Stegostoma tigrinum: one gene and its partner. The protein of the gene in region 2 binds, or shares a complex with, the protein of the main gene of each other region. Links are inferred from orthologs where the notes say so. Each region holds a gene or a part of one and is shown on either strand. Other genes may lie near its edges.

What was found. Proteins that work in one complex are often made in the same cells at the same time.
Region 1: pole3 (region 2) and baz1a share a complex: the UniProt entries of both Homo sapiens proteins name them as parts of the CHRAC ISWI chromatin remodeling complex. The link is inferred for Stegostoma tigrinum from reciprocal best matches to the Homo sapiens genes POLE3 and BAZ1A.

What each region holds. Positions count from the first base shown.
Region 1 is NC_081363.1:58,510,852-58,517,926, forward strand, and holds the start of baz1a (bromodomain adjacent to zinc finger domain protein 1A), read left to right. Parts: upstream 1-4,028; 5' UTR 4,029-4,262; intron 4,263-4,628; 5' UTR 4,629-4,652; coding exon 4,653-4,765; intron 4,766-7,075. UniProt on the Homo sapiens protein: Regulatory subunit of the ATP-dependent ACF-1 and ACF-5 ISWI chromatin remodeling complexes, which form ordered nucleosome arrays on chromatin and slide edge- and center-positioned histone octamers away from their original location on the DNA template to facilitate access to DNA during DNA-templated processes such as DNA replication, transcription, and repair.
Region 2 is NC_081382.1:5,786,592-5,794,394, reverse strand, and holds the start of pole3 (DNA polymerase epsilon subunit 3), read left to right. Parts: upstream 1-4,645; 5' UTR 4,646-4,700; exon of another isoform or gene 4,701-4,722; intron 4,723-4,736; exon of another isoform or gene 4,737-4,932; intron 4,933-7,044; 5' UTR 7,045-7,058; coding exon 7,059-7,124; intron 7,125-7,789; coding exon 7,790-7,803. UniProt on the Homo sapiens protein: Accessory component of the DNA polymerase epsilon complex. Participates in DNA repair and in chromosomal DNA replication.

The DNA.
Region 1 (7,075 bases), on a different chromosome or scaffold from region 2:
AACAGACAAAACGTGCCCAGAAACCATAACCACTCTCCCCTACATCAAAGACATTTTGGAAATGACTGCCAGACTACTCAGACCTCTTGGCATCACGGTAGCCCACAAACCCACCAACACACTAAAACAGCAGCTAATGAACTTAAAAGACCCTATACAGACAACAAGCAAAACAAACGTCATTTACAAAATACCTTGCAAGAACTGTGACAAACAGGCAGAAAGCTAGCCACCAGGATACACGAACATCAACTAGGCACAAAAAGACATGATCCACTATCACTAGTATCCTTACATAGAGATGAGGAAGGACACCACTTTGATTGGGACAACACATCCATCCCAGGACAAGCCAAACAGAGACACGCACGAGAATCCCGAGAAGCATGGCATTCCAAGCGGAACTCCATCAACAAACACATTGATTTGGAGCCTATCTACCTTCCTCTGAGAAAAAGAACAGGAAATGACATCACCAACCAAAGGAAACCTAAACAGATAAATAGAAAGCGGGACATAACACCAGCGCTTCACCAGAGGCTCACTGATGATGTTACCTAGAATGGTGACGAAACGTCTGAAAACAAACCTTCCAGCTCAGTGAGCAAACTCACATCCAGAACCTCAACCTGAGCTACAAATCTTCTCAAAACTCGCTGTGTATCACTAAAATAAAACCAAGAACTGCAGTTGCTGGAAAGCTGAAACAAGAACAGAAATTGCAGGAGAATCTCAACAGGTCGAAGGGTCACTAGTCTCAATATATTGACTCTGCTTTCTCTGCACAGAGGTTTTGAAGTTAGATGCCTCAATTACCCTCCTTGGCAGTGCATTTTAGACCTAGATCACCTTCTGAGTGGGGAAGCAACTTTTCTATCTAACCTGTCCATATCCCCGTGATCTTATTCATCTCAGTCATGTTCCTTTTGAAGCTTCTCTGCTCCAAACAACCCAAGCTTATCCAACATCTCTTCACAGCTAAGATGATCCAACCCAGGCAACATGTGGTGTATCTGTTCTGTCCCATCTCAAGTGCAATTGAATCATTCTACAGTGCACTAAACTATGAAGGGAAACTGGCCATCTAGCCAACTGAGCTAGGGCACCAGGGAATTGGCAGACCAAAGTTTTCCGCAAGTTGTTCTGGGGATGTCTGAAAATGTGCCACTCACACCAGTCAGATCTCATCAATACCAGACCTAACATCCACAACAGCTTCATGATCATTTCTAACTATCAAGTGCTGAATCTAACCCTGACAACTGTGGCATGTAGCAAGATCATAGAGACAAAAGCCAAGGAAACTTTACCATACCAGACAGAAACGTTGTCTTCAAATGAAATCTTGTGTATCGCTGATACATTCAAGACCCACAAGCTGATCAATACCATTTATCAGGCTCTTTCAGACAACAATGTCCAAGGGTCAAAGTAGGATTATCTGTCCAACACCGTTTATAACTCTGCACTCACTGCATATGGGAAAATAGATCAGAGAAATGCTGACTAATTGAATTGAAAGCACCAGTTACTGCAACCAAGAAAATAGCCCTCATGAACGACAACCAAGTCGGAGACAAAATCTAAATGATCTGAGAGCAGCCAAAATCAAGTCTGAGCAGGATTTTGGCACTGTGCTAATTAATACTCTGAAACTCTGCACAAGTGTAAAATGTGCTACTGGATCTGGAGACACTGGAGACGTGAATGAATCAAGAAAGCAACAGAGCCAGGAACAACAAATCAACTTCCGTGAACACAAAGACAGGCAGATCATCATTGAACTTGGCAAGCATGTAGAAAGGTAGGTGAAGCACTATCTCAAACTCTTGCAGTGACAATGTTGTGTATTGTATAAAAGCTCTCAGCACTATTCCAGATTTTTCTGTCAGAGATGCTGGACAGCAAACTCACCATCGAAGAGTTCAACAGGACCATTGACTTTCTTGGCAGCAGTAAAGCTCTAGGATGTCATTTCATTCCACCTTATGTCATCCAACTTGAAAAACTAGTACTGCTGCAGGACCTCTATGTAATGTGTCTCTGCTGGAAAGAAAGAGTTCTGTCTCAAGACATGCATTAATACAAAATAGTTTGGGTCAAAAACAAGAAGAATTGTCTTGATTGCACCAATTACCAAGGCATCTCCTCGTGAAATATTGTGGCAAAGATCATTATTGTGGCCAGATTGCAGAGTCTGACATCACATACCTAAACTGAGTCTCACTGTGGTGTCACGATTTTCTGTCTTGGGCAGTTGCAGAATAAGTGCTCCGAAAGTGCAGATCACTCTAAACTGATTTCACACAACTCATCAAGACCTTCAACTTAGTCAACAAAGACGAAGATTCTTAAACTGCAGAAGATTGATTTCTTGGACTCCTTAATTTCTTTCCACAAGAATGTACACACATTTGTCAGTTACAGTGGAGCAATGTTTGGCTTTGAAATCAGCAGCACGGTGAAACAGAACTGCATCCTGACACCAACTCTCTTTAGTATGTTTTCCTCCATGCTACATATTGTACGCTTTCGCTATACAAATGAGGATGTCTATCTGCATGCCAGAGCAGATTGTCTGAATTGATAAGCCTACATGCCAATCCCAAAATGCATAACATCCTAGTTCACGAATTGCTGTTTGTTGATGATGCCTCATTAGCATCCCATCCTGAAGTTAGCTCCAACAGCTTATAAATTGGCTCTCCCAGACACTGCAGAGGGGTTGGATTATAACCTGCATCAGGAAGGTCAAAATCATGCATAGAGTCCATCGTCATCAATATTGACTTCCTCACTTTAGAGATTAGCAACAGCTTCACCTACCCTGAATCAACAATTACCAACCAACGTCTTGATTTCCTTCCGAGTCAATACCAAAACTTCCAAGGCCATCGTCGTCATAAACTGCGAAGGCAATTGTGAAACTAAGAGAAAAGTAATTTGAAGTACAGTCTCACTTGGCTTTTCAGTCATGAAGCATGGAAAATATGTGCAAGCGAAGAAAAGCCATTGAACAGCTTCCTTCCCTGCAATTTTAGAGAAATTTTGGGCATGTCTTACCAAGACAATGCCAAACACAGCAACACCAAGATGCAAGGATCCTCAGCATGTGTCCCCTCTTAGATTGCTGGGTCACCTGAACCAAACGAATGGAACTTCATTTGCACAGACAAACTTTCGGCGAGTTTGCTATCTGCGTGAAGCAACTGGACACCCACATCAACGATACAAAGACGTCAACCTACAAGACCCTAAGTTGACAGGGATCGAAGTAAGCCGAAAGAACTGAAGATCTTTAAATCAGAAACAATACCAGAAATTGCTGGAAAAGTTCGGCAGGCCTGGCAGCAACTGTGCAGAGAAACAGAGGTGATCTTTCGGGTCGAGTGACCCTTCCTCAGAACGGTTTTTGTTTCGGAGTAAGAAAAGTTGTAAAGAGCATGAAAAAAAGCAGAGGACAAAACAAATGACCAAATGGTACAGAAATGATACTGTCTGAAGGAAAACAAATCTGTACGAAAGTGAAACGTTGCAGATGCTGGAAGTCTAAAACAAGAACGAAATGATTGGAAAAACTCCATAATTGAGAGAGAGTTTGAAACGGAAAAACAGAGCCAGAAACAGAATGCGTGAGAGAGACAGCAGGTATTATCGAAAAAGAGAATGAACCAGGGAGATAAAGAAGGAACATTAGGTAGAGTCCGAGAAAGTGTGCGTTGTGGAAAGGAGCATATGGGAAACGGAGGAGTATGTTCTGTTTTTGGTGACAATATTTAGCCTGATTCAATGAGAAGCGAGGCTTTGGCGTCGGAGGGGACAACCAATAGTGATTGTGATGTAGGGACCAAGGCCAATGGGTGGATAGAAATGTGTCGAAATGAGCCAATGGAAGGGCGGATACGTGGTAGGATGAGCCAATAGGTGAGTGGATGTCGGGCGAGATGGGCCAATGGGAGGAAGGTATCGGGTAAGGGGGTGCCAATGGGTGGAGTGGCTGGGTGTGGAGTTCCACCTCTTGTGACGTGAAGAACGTGCCGTTTCGAGTGGGACGCAGGCGCAGCGGCAGAGGGGAAGCAGACGGAGGGAGAAGCCGCGGCTGGCGAGAGGAAGTGGAAGCGGCGCTGGACGGAGCCGGTAGTAGTGGCTGATCGGACTCCCCGGAACACAGCCTTCAAGCTCAGGGAGGAGGGGAAAGAGAGACTTAAAAAGCCGACAAATATTTACCGGCCACTTCCTATCAGCATACGTACACACACCAGGTAAGGCTTTCCCTGTGACTTGAGCGGGTGGTTCCGCGTTTGGGACGCGGGCGGGTGGCGAGGGGAAGCGGGCAAACGGGGTGGTTGGGCAACATATTATCGGTAAAAGAGAGAGCGGCTCTCGAGCACACTGTGGGCCGCGGTTGACTCGTGCTTCCCTGGTCGACAGTAACGGTAAATGATGGGCTTCCGCCGTGGATCCCGGGGACGCGTTTGAAGTTTGTCGGCGAAGTCGTTGTCGTGCCGGTGTTGGATTTGACCGCCCGCAGCTACTCCATGTACTTTGTAATTATTAAGAGTGTGTGTTTCTCTTTCTCTTTGATTCCTCTGGTGCTGCTTGGCGTCTCTTGAACCCCTCTCCGCCAGCGCTGTGCCTGCCCGAGGAAGGGGATGCCGCTTCTCCATCGCAAACCGTTCGTCAGACAAAAACCCCCGGCCGACCTGAAGCCGGACGAAGAAGTTTTCTACTGTCGGATGACCATCGAGATCTTCAGGAATTACGAGTGAGTTGGTGTTTGGCGACGGGGCTTTGGGAGTGGGTCCGCTGAATTTCCTCTGCCGCCGAAGCGGCACAAGGGCGCACTACCTCATTTTCGTTCAAATCGGCAAATTATGATTCGAAAGCAACGTTAACGGCTCCGGGTTTGTCTCCCGGGCTTTGGCGGCGGGCGTGGGGGATGGAAGGAGGACTTTGGTTGCCTTCCACTGCTGTCCACACAGTCTGTTTCTCCCTCTCTCCCTTGTGCCCGTGTGGCGGGCTGTCAAATAACTAATAACTAACTCGTGCCGAATGCGGACTGGAGTAGGCCTTGTGCTGCTGGATAATCTAAATTTATTTAGACACCCCCGGCGGCTGGTATTTTTTTTCCTCGCACACATGCTCGATCCGAGATGTTCCCGTTTACGTCATTTGTATAAACTGTTTTTGGGGGTGTCCGGAGGATGTCGCCTCTATTATTTCCTCGCTTTTGTTTTCTCTGTCTGGGTTTGATTTTTAATGAGCATCTCCGCAGCGAGGATAAGACTTGAGTTTCGTGCGCGACGTGTGGAGAGCGTGGGCTGTTTTGATGCTTATCCGAACATTGTCTCTTTTGTACACGGAGTCAGTGATGGGCCTGGTTTGGAGAAACCGAGCCTGTTTAATTATAAGCATCACAGGCGTACGGAACTTGAAGATATCTTCACACTTTTTATTAGTCGAATGACGAATTAATTCGTGGTTATCTTCTTGCTTTAACTTTTCGAAACCCTGTATAACGTGCGGATTGCAGTTACCTCAAGTGTAATGGAAAAGCACTCCAAGAGCGAGGTGACTGAAACGATTACAAGGCAGGCACTTAATGGAACGCATTACAAACTGGGAATAACTGAATTACCCAATGCTGGAATACATGAAAGTCGCCACATATTTCCAAGCAATAAATTTTTGCCTAATGTTAATGAACACCACCGCTCGTTTTTGTGATGCTCTTGAAGTATTATTGGTTACAGAAATTATTTCTGAGCATTCTAATTCGTTAATATGGTGTGGACCTTGCTGGTAAAGCCAACATTTACATTTCTCACACCACAAAGGGTTCATATGGTGTAGGTACGTGCCAGTGCCATTAGGAAGTTCCAGGATTTGGATCACTTGCTATATTTTTCTTTTAAAGATACAGTATGGTGGAGCTGGACAATCTTGACTTAGAGTCCTGATGAAGGGTCCACTTTCCTGTTTCTCTGCTGCATGACCAGTGTTTCCCCAGCTCAACGCTGTATGGACTCACTTCCAGTATCTGCAGTTATTATTATCGCCTATACAGTAAGGAGTGTTGGTTTAGAGTGGGGACAGGGTTTGGAATCTTGATGGTCTTGCTACCAATCTGCCACTCTTCTAGGTGCTACACCCTGTGCATTTGGAAGTTTCAGTCAAACGCAGTGTGATTCGTTGCTCTGATATATCTCTTATACGAAGCACATGGCTACATCTGAGCATTAGCAGTGGATGGGTTCCTTTGTCCAGTATGATATTGAACAACTTGTTGGAGCTGTGCTTATCTGGACAAGTGACAAGTATTCTTTCACACTCCTGATTTGTGCCCTGCAAATAGGAAGTTAGGTGAGTTACTTCTGCAGGCCTCTGTCTTTGACCTCTCTTACTTATGTGGCTAGTCTGATGGGGAAGTAAAATTTAGCCTTACCTTTTGGTGTTCGTGCTTTGGTGTAAAGAATTGAGAAATATTTCAAAAAATTGCCGTATTTGTATACCTGCCACTTGGTGTCAGTTGATCACTATGAATATCCTGTGTTCATGGAGGTAGATTGTCACACGAGCTAATACAATAGACACCACATGCCAAGAAAAACTGTGTAGTTTGCTGGGCATGTTGTTTTCTATATCTAATGTTGCTCCACAATGAAGGGAAAAATGAGTTTGTGCCTGTAATTCTCTCCATGGATGGCCATCTTGTCACAATGTATCAGTGTATGCTGATTGAAGGCCACCACAATGCTGAGATTTCATGTTCAGAAGGAAATCATTTTAATCTTAGTTGAGTAAGCTATGGACGCATCAAAGAAACTAAATTACCCTTTTAGGGTGTCGCAAGTTAATTCACTAATGTGCCAAGAAATAACCATATTTTATGGACCAGATATTTCTGGAAGTACCATTGAAGTTTAAAAAGTCTTGTGCTTGATGTATTTTCTGTCACTGCTGAGATAAAGCATTTTCGATATCGTGCTTAGCTCTCAGTAATTGTGCAATGTAAATACATTTTTTTTTGTTTCTGTTTCTTTAGAAATGTGTTTGAATATAAAAGCAGTAATTG
Region 2 (7,803 bases):
AAGGGCATCTTCACCCTCATTTACAAGAGGAAGGGGGAGAGGGAAGAAATTAAGAATTGGCATCCCATTTCACTATTGTACGTGGACTACAAAATCCTGGCCAAGGTCATAGCCAACCGGGTCAGGTCTGTCCTGGACTCGGTGATTCACCCTGACCAAACCTGTGCTGTGCCGGGCAGGAAGATCGCTGAGAGCCTTGCGCTCATCAGGGATACGATTGCCTACGTACAGGACAGGCGGGTGGACACCTGCCTCGTCAGCCTGGACCAGGAGAAGGCCTTTGACAGGGTCTCTCATGCTTACATGAGGGACGTCCTCTCCAAATTGGGGTTCGGGGAGGGGATCCGCAATTGGATCCGGCTGCTCTACACCAACATTGTTAGTGCAGTCTCGATCAACGGGTGGGAATTGGACATTTTTCCCGTCAGATATGGAGTCAGGCAGGGCTGCCCGCTCTCTCCTGCCTTGTTCGTGTGCTGTGTGAAGCCCTTCGCCGCATCCATCAGGAAGAACGTGAGCCTGAAGGGTGTGACTATCCCGGGCAGCGGAGGCCTTCAGGTCAAGACCTCCCTGTACGTGGACGATGTCGCCGTCTTCTGTACCGATCGTCGGTCGGTGAGTAGGCTGTTGGACATCTGTGGCCAGTTTGAACTGGCCTCAGGTGCCAAAGTCAACAGTGGTAAGAGCGAGGCTATGTTCTTCGGGAACTGGGACGACCGCTCCTTCATCCCCTTCACCGTCAGGACAGACTACCTGAAGGTGCTGGGTGTTTGGTTCGGTGGAGCTGGGGCATGCACTAAGACCTGGGAGGAGCATATCACCAAGTTGAAGCAGAAGCTGGGAAGGTGGACGCTCCGGTCCCTCTCCATCACGGGTAAGAACCTGGTTGTCAGGTGCGAGGGGCTTTCGGTACTGTTGTATGTGGCGCAGGCCTGGCCTATTCCCTGGACCTGCGCCGCTGCGGTCACCCGGGCCATCTTCCACTTCATTTGGGGGTCGAGGATGGACCAGATCCACAGGGACACCATGTACAAAGACCTGGAAAATGGGGGAAAGGGCTTACCGAATGCCACCCTCGCCCTGATGGCTACCTTTGTGTGCGGCTGCATCGAACTGTGCGTAGATCCTCAGTACGCAAACACCAAGTGTCACTACTTACTGAGGTTCTACCTGTCCCCGATGTTGCGAAGGATGGGCCTGGCCTCGTTGCTGCGGAACGCTCCGAGTAGTTGGATCATCCCGTACCACCTGTCCTTCGTGGAGAAATTTTTGAAAGGAAACACCTTTACCACAAGGCTGTCAGGCAGTGGTCAGCACGTAGTATTCTTGAGACCCTTCGGGAAAAGGAGAGGGTGGATCCCGTCATGTGGTTCCCCACGCAGACTGCCAAAGTCGTTTGGGAGAATGCCTCATCGCCAGAACTTTCCAACAAGCACAAGGACATTGCTTGGCTGGCAGTGAGAGGGGGTCTGCCAGTGATATCTTTTATGCATGCCTGGAATCTCTGCACCACCGCACACTGCCCTTGAGGCGGCTGCGGGGGCGACGAGACTGTCTGTGCAGGAGGTCTGGAGGGGGATGCAGTGGTATTTGTCGAGGTTCGTCCCGAGCAGCTCCGTGACGCGGGACTCCGTGCTCTACGGGCTGTTTCCCGGGACGCACACCGAGACCAACATCAACTGCGCCTGGAGGACCATCAATGCAGTGAAAGATGCTCTTTGGTCTGCCCGCAACTTATTGGTCTGCCAGCTGAAAGAACTGACCCCGACCGAGCGTTGCAGACTGGCACACTCCAAGGTCCAGGACTACGTGCTGAGGGATGCGCTAAATCTTGGGGCAGCTGCTGGCAAGACACGGTGGGGAAAGACCACCGTATGAAACCCCTCGTCCAGAATAGAAACAAGGGCCCTATCTGGTAACTGGGTCCAGCTGGCGCCTTCCCCAACTGGTCAGGGGGCCAACGGGGACTGTGCGGGGAGACGACTGCCGGGGTATTTTCTTTGCTTAGTTTTTTTTTTCCTTTGTTTTGTTTTTTCCTTTTAGTTGGTGCACGTACCCCCTGGGTAACCCGGAGCAGCTTGTATGACTGGGTAGGTGTATAAATGTTTTATTTTTTGTATGTTCTATGAATAAAGTATATTTTTTCAAATCAATTAAAAAAAAGTGACGAAACGTCTGAAAACTAACCTTCCAGCTCAGCGAGCAAACTCACATCTACATTCTTTTCATTTGGAAATAAAAGATCCCATCACTATGACAATTAATATTAATGTATTTCTGACCACTATTCCCTTGTCAATGAGGTATCCTCTCAAATTTTCTACACCAAGGACTGAGTTCCAATTAGAAAAGAAATTTCAGAAGAATGGTGTTCGACATATTCTTATGCTTGGATCCTTGGCAAGATCCCCCAACTTGTTATGGTTCCAGACAGTTTGTACAATTTGTTAAGCCCGTAGGTGAAGTAGAAGCAGACAGGGGAAAATTAACTGCCTTTTCCTTTTTTATTCACCCAAGCCATGTTGGTCTCAACATGTTTAATTTAAAAGCAAATCTTCTCTCTTGTAGATGCCTTTCTCCCAGATCCAAATGAACCTGCGTTTTCAAAGCAAGAATTTGTAACAGCACACAGGTTAGAAAAAAAGTGAGATCTAAAAGATAAAATTTTTTAAAAGCAGATACAGCAAACTTTGTACTAACTAGCATCCTACAAACCAACACTTGATAAAACGGCAAAAATTACATAACTGAAATTAACTGTATTATCGTGATCCTCACAATGCCTGAGTAGACACATAATGGGCATTGACACCCGACATTACATTTCAATCACTAAGTGTGTGTTTTTACATTGATTAGATGAACCTCTTGATCAACCAGAATATTTGATTAATCTGCATACTCCTGGTCCCATGGGTTCTGCTTAATAAGTTTACTGTATTCAGATCTGTCTCCTAATTGTTCCCAAAACGTTGAATAATATGGCTGTGACAGTGGGGTTTATTGGCAACACTGACACTGGAAGTTGAAGAGTTGGTTTCAAGTCTTACATTTGCATGTTGATTAAAATCCTGTATTTCTGATTCCTTTTGATTGTGGATGAATGACGGCATTCAGGGTGATATAGTCCTTCTGTTGTCTTTTCAAACTTTTCTCTGGCTACCCAGCTACTGGTAATGAGCACTCAGATTAAGAGGTTCCCTTTACCTGCAATGATTAAACTAGACAATGATTGCAAAGCAAGATAACAAAGTGTGGAGCTGGATGAACACAGCAGGCCCAGCAGCATCTCAGGAGCACAAAATCTGACGTTTCGGGCCTAGATCCTTTGTCAGAGAGGGGGATGGGGAGAGGGTTCTGAAATAAATAGGGAGAGATGGGGAGACGGACCGAAGATGGAGAGGGGAGAAGATAGGTGGAGAGAAGAGCATAGGTGGGGACGGGATAGGTCAGTCTGGGGAGGACGGACAGGTTAAGGAGGTGGGATGAGGTTAGTAGGTAAGAAATGGAGATGTGGCTTGAGATGGGAGGAAGGGATAGGTGAGAGGAAGAACAGGTTAGGGAGGCAGAGACAGGCTGGGCTGGTTTTGGGATGCAGTGGGCGAAGGAGAGATTTTGAAGCTTGTGAAGTCCACATTGATACCATTGGGCTGCAGGGTTCCCAAGCGGAATATGAGTTGCTGTTTCTGCAACATTCACAAGCTTCAAAATCTCCACTCCCCCCACTGCATCCCAAAACCAGCCCAGCCTGTCTCTGCCTCCCTAACCTGTTCTTCCTCTCACCCATCCCTTCCTCCCACCTCAAGCCGCACCTCCATTTCCTACGTACCATCTCATCCCGCCTCCTTGACCTGTCCGTCCTCCCAGGACTGACCTATTGCCTCCCCCTCTCTCCCTATTTATTTCAGAATCCTCTCCCCCTCCCCCTTTTCTGATGAAGGGTCTAGGCCCGAAACGTCAGCTTTTGTGCTCCTGAGATGCTGCTTGGCCTGCTGTGTTCATCCAGCCTCACACTTTATTATCTTGGATTCTCCAGCATCTGCAGTTCCCATTATCCATGATTGCAAAGCACCGACATTCAATTCGAGCTTCGTACACAGGGGAACGTCAGCCCACTGGCACACGAGAACCTAGGTCCTCTGGAGCACATGCTGGCAGAGTGAACAGGCTTTTTACATCCCTGTCTTTGTGTATTCTTGTATGTATGTGAAAAAGGTTAAGGTTCCCTTTCCACCTTTAAGTGCGACATTCCATGGCTATCCTTCTCTCCAGTCAGTCAATTAATTTACATCTGCAGCTACTTATGGCCCTATGGATTGCCTCTCTTTTAAAATCCACTTCGGAATTATGAGCTAAAAATATTAACAGTACTTTAGGTTGGGACCCGTGGTCATGACAATATGAATACGTCCTACCCAGCAGTGCTAGTTTTGAGCGATCAGTGTCTTAGTGCCGGGTATACTAGTTTGGGAGATAACACTTGTAATTTGGACCACTTTCCTTACTACTCACGCAGCGGTGAAACTCCTCTCCAGCGCCTTTAGGCGGCGCCTCTGGCTGGAGGCCGCAGCCTTCGGTAACCAAGCGCGGGAAGATGACGCGGGTAGAGCTCACGCGCCACAGCAGCCGTCCAATCAGGCGTTCCGGAGGGGGTCAGGGGTGAAAGGTTGCGGGAGGCTGCGGACGTCTTTTGCTGGCGGGTGAGAGCGCGCGAGGGACGGGGTGAGAGTGTGGGTGGCCGTTATTCTAATGAGGTGCTCAGTGTCATGGCGGCGGGCTGTGGACGGTTCAGTTCAGGCAGGGCACGGGGCTAGGCCGTCTGCAGAGCCGGGCAACTGACCACCTGAGGGAGCGGGCATTGCCGGAGGGTCAGTGCTGAGGGAGCGGGCACTGCCGGAGGGTCAGTGCTGAGGGAGCGGGCACTGTCGGAGGGTCAGTGCTGAGGGAGCGGGCACTGTCGGAGGGTCAGTGCTGAGGGAGCGCGGTAACACTAGATGGCCATTGTACGGTTGTTTAGCAGCCCAGAGAGACAGTGACGCATTTTCGGAGGGGCAAATTTGGATTACGGCGTCTTTCATCTGTCATGTTCAATGCCACAGTTTTCCAGTACAGAAAATAGGGTCTATCCTTGATGTCCTATTCAATATGTATCTCTGTACCAGCATCTTTGGTTATTTATCCCGTTGGTGTTTGTGGGAGTTTGCTGTGATGGTTGCACTTCTTTGTCTGAAAAGTCCCATGGAATTTTTGGAGATTGTGTAGACTGTTAAATAAATATCTGCCTTGTTTTTGTTTGGGCCAGCTTTTCAATGTAGAATCACTACCAAGGTTAATGAAGATCCAATGTAAAGTTCCTATACAGTGTTGGGCTGCATGAATTGTAACTACTGTTGAGGCTTTGAGTGAGCATGGAGATTCATGTGAATTAAATAATATAAACAATAGATCAGAAGAAACATCTTGTATAATGTGGTCACATGGAATTCACTTTCAGAGTTGGTGGCTTAGATAAAATCTAAATCAATATTGATCGTTAGATTGAAAAGTGGATGAAGAGACATGCATGTTAGGTGTCTCAACTTAGATTGAGCAGTGTTTATACTTTTGTTATCCTTTCACTTCCTTGGGCTATCCCAATGTATTTCTCAGTGCATCAGTTATTTTTGAAGTATGTATAGGTCAACAACTAATTTGGAACTGACAAAAAGCAATGGAAGCAGTTAATTTTTTCTCAGTGATGTTTGCTGAGGAAAGTTAACTGTGTCTCTCCGCTCTTCTGTGAACAGTGTCAGGGATCTTGTGCCTGTGTGCGCAGGCAGATGGGTCCTCAGTTTAATGGTTCATTAAGACAATCTTCAGTGCGCCGTGCATACTGCAGTAAAGGTGCTGAAGTAGAGGCCTGTTTCAGTGTATACAGTAGAACATTGGTTGTAAGCAGACAGCAAAAAGTGTTTTTCTTTTTAACATTTTTTGAGTCATATGTCACAATTATTTTGACAATTCAAAACTAGCTGCTAGTGTATATTTAATTGTCCTTTAAATAATTTAGCTGAATTCTTTTGTATTTTTGTGTTTTTTAAAATTCCCATCTCCCAAATGATTTTTGGATTTGCAAAAGACAACTGTACAAGTACGTTGGCAGCCCTTTGATACCCTGCCCCATGTGTACAGCATCCAGTGTTTCAAATTTGTAACAGATCTGACCCATAGTGAAAAAACCCCAGTACAGAGGCACACCCATGATAAATTTATCCCAGTGCAGTATCCCCACTGCAAAATCCTTCTGAATATGGCATTTTCATGCAGTAGAACCATCCCAGTCTGGAATTCTCTGTATTAAGTGTATCCTCAGTGATATGTGGTAAACTTATACCTGAGACCATCTGGTGATGTGGGGATGTCAATGGAGAGGGTTCAGAGGAGGTTTACCAGGATGCTGTCTGGACTGGAGGGCTTATCTTATGAAGAGAGGTTGACTGAGCTCGGTCTCTTTTCATTGGAGAAAAGGAGGAGGAGAGCGGACCTAATTGAGGTATACAAGGTAATGAGAGGCATAGATAGAGTTGATAGCCAGAGACTATTTCCCAGGGCAGAAATGGCTAGCACGAGGGGTCATAGTTTTAAGCTGGTTGGTGGAAAGTATAGAGGGGATGTCAGAGGCAGGTTCTTTACGCAGAGAGTTGTGAGAGCATGGAATGCGTTGCCAGCAGCAGTTGTGGAAGCAAGGTCATTGGGGTCATTTAAGAGACTGCTGGACATGTATATGGTCACAGAAATTTGAGGGTGCATACATGAGGATCAATGGTCGGCACAACATTGTGGGCTGAAGGGCCTGTTCTGTGCTGTACTGTTCTATGTTCTATGCCCAAACTGCTAAACATGTATTGCTTATGTTACCTTGCATCCAAAGGTTTCCATATTCCTGAGACCTTTGTCCAAGGTATTACATCTTGGCCGGTAGTTTTATGGTAGTTTTGGAGTTGAGGAATGTCTCAGCTGCCCTGGACTTTAACACATCTAACTGAATTGTTTGTGTATTTGTAGTTTATGTGAGAAAGATGGCTGAGAGACCGGAAGACTTGAATCTACCAAATGCAGTCATTACTAGGATTATTAAAGAGGCGGTGAGCGTGAATTAGACAAGCATCTGTAATCACAGATTTTGCGCGGTTGACTCTACTAGATTGTGAACTATATTTTTATGCCTTATGATAACATCTGATAGATAATAAATTTTCCGAATTAAAAAGAAATTCTCACTGCTTAGTTGTTCACTAGTTACTATAAAATGAAGTACTTTTCTTGACAGAATTTTGCCATTTGAAGTTAAAACAATGAATGGATGCTGGAAATCTGAAACAAAAACAAATTACTGGAGAAACTCAGTAGGTCTGGAAGCATAAATAGAGAAAGCAGAGTTGATGTTTTGAGACAAGTGACCCTTCAGAACTGTTTCTATTAGTAAGGATAATTTGAATAAATGCAGCATTTGTTATCTGGAGAAATGATGTGAATAATCAATACAAGGACACACTTTACATTGCTTTTATAATATCACATACAATTTGAAATTGGCTATCAGGGGATGGTCAAGTACCAGAACACACACTTCATTGTTAATGCCCCAGTTAAAATGTAGTAAGTTCCTTAAATTTAAATATAGGCTATTGCAACATGTTGGCTATGTGAATAATAAATAATGTTCTGTTTGGAAATTACTAATGCCCAAAAGCTAGGTTGTCCCTATACCTGAGAACATGCAATTGGATGAATCCATTTGTTCTGTTAGCTTCCAGATGGAGT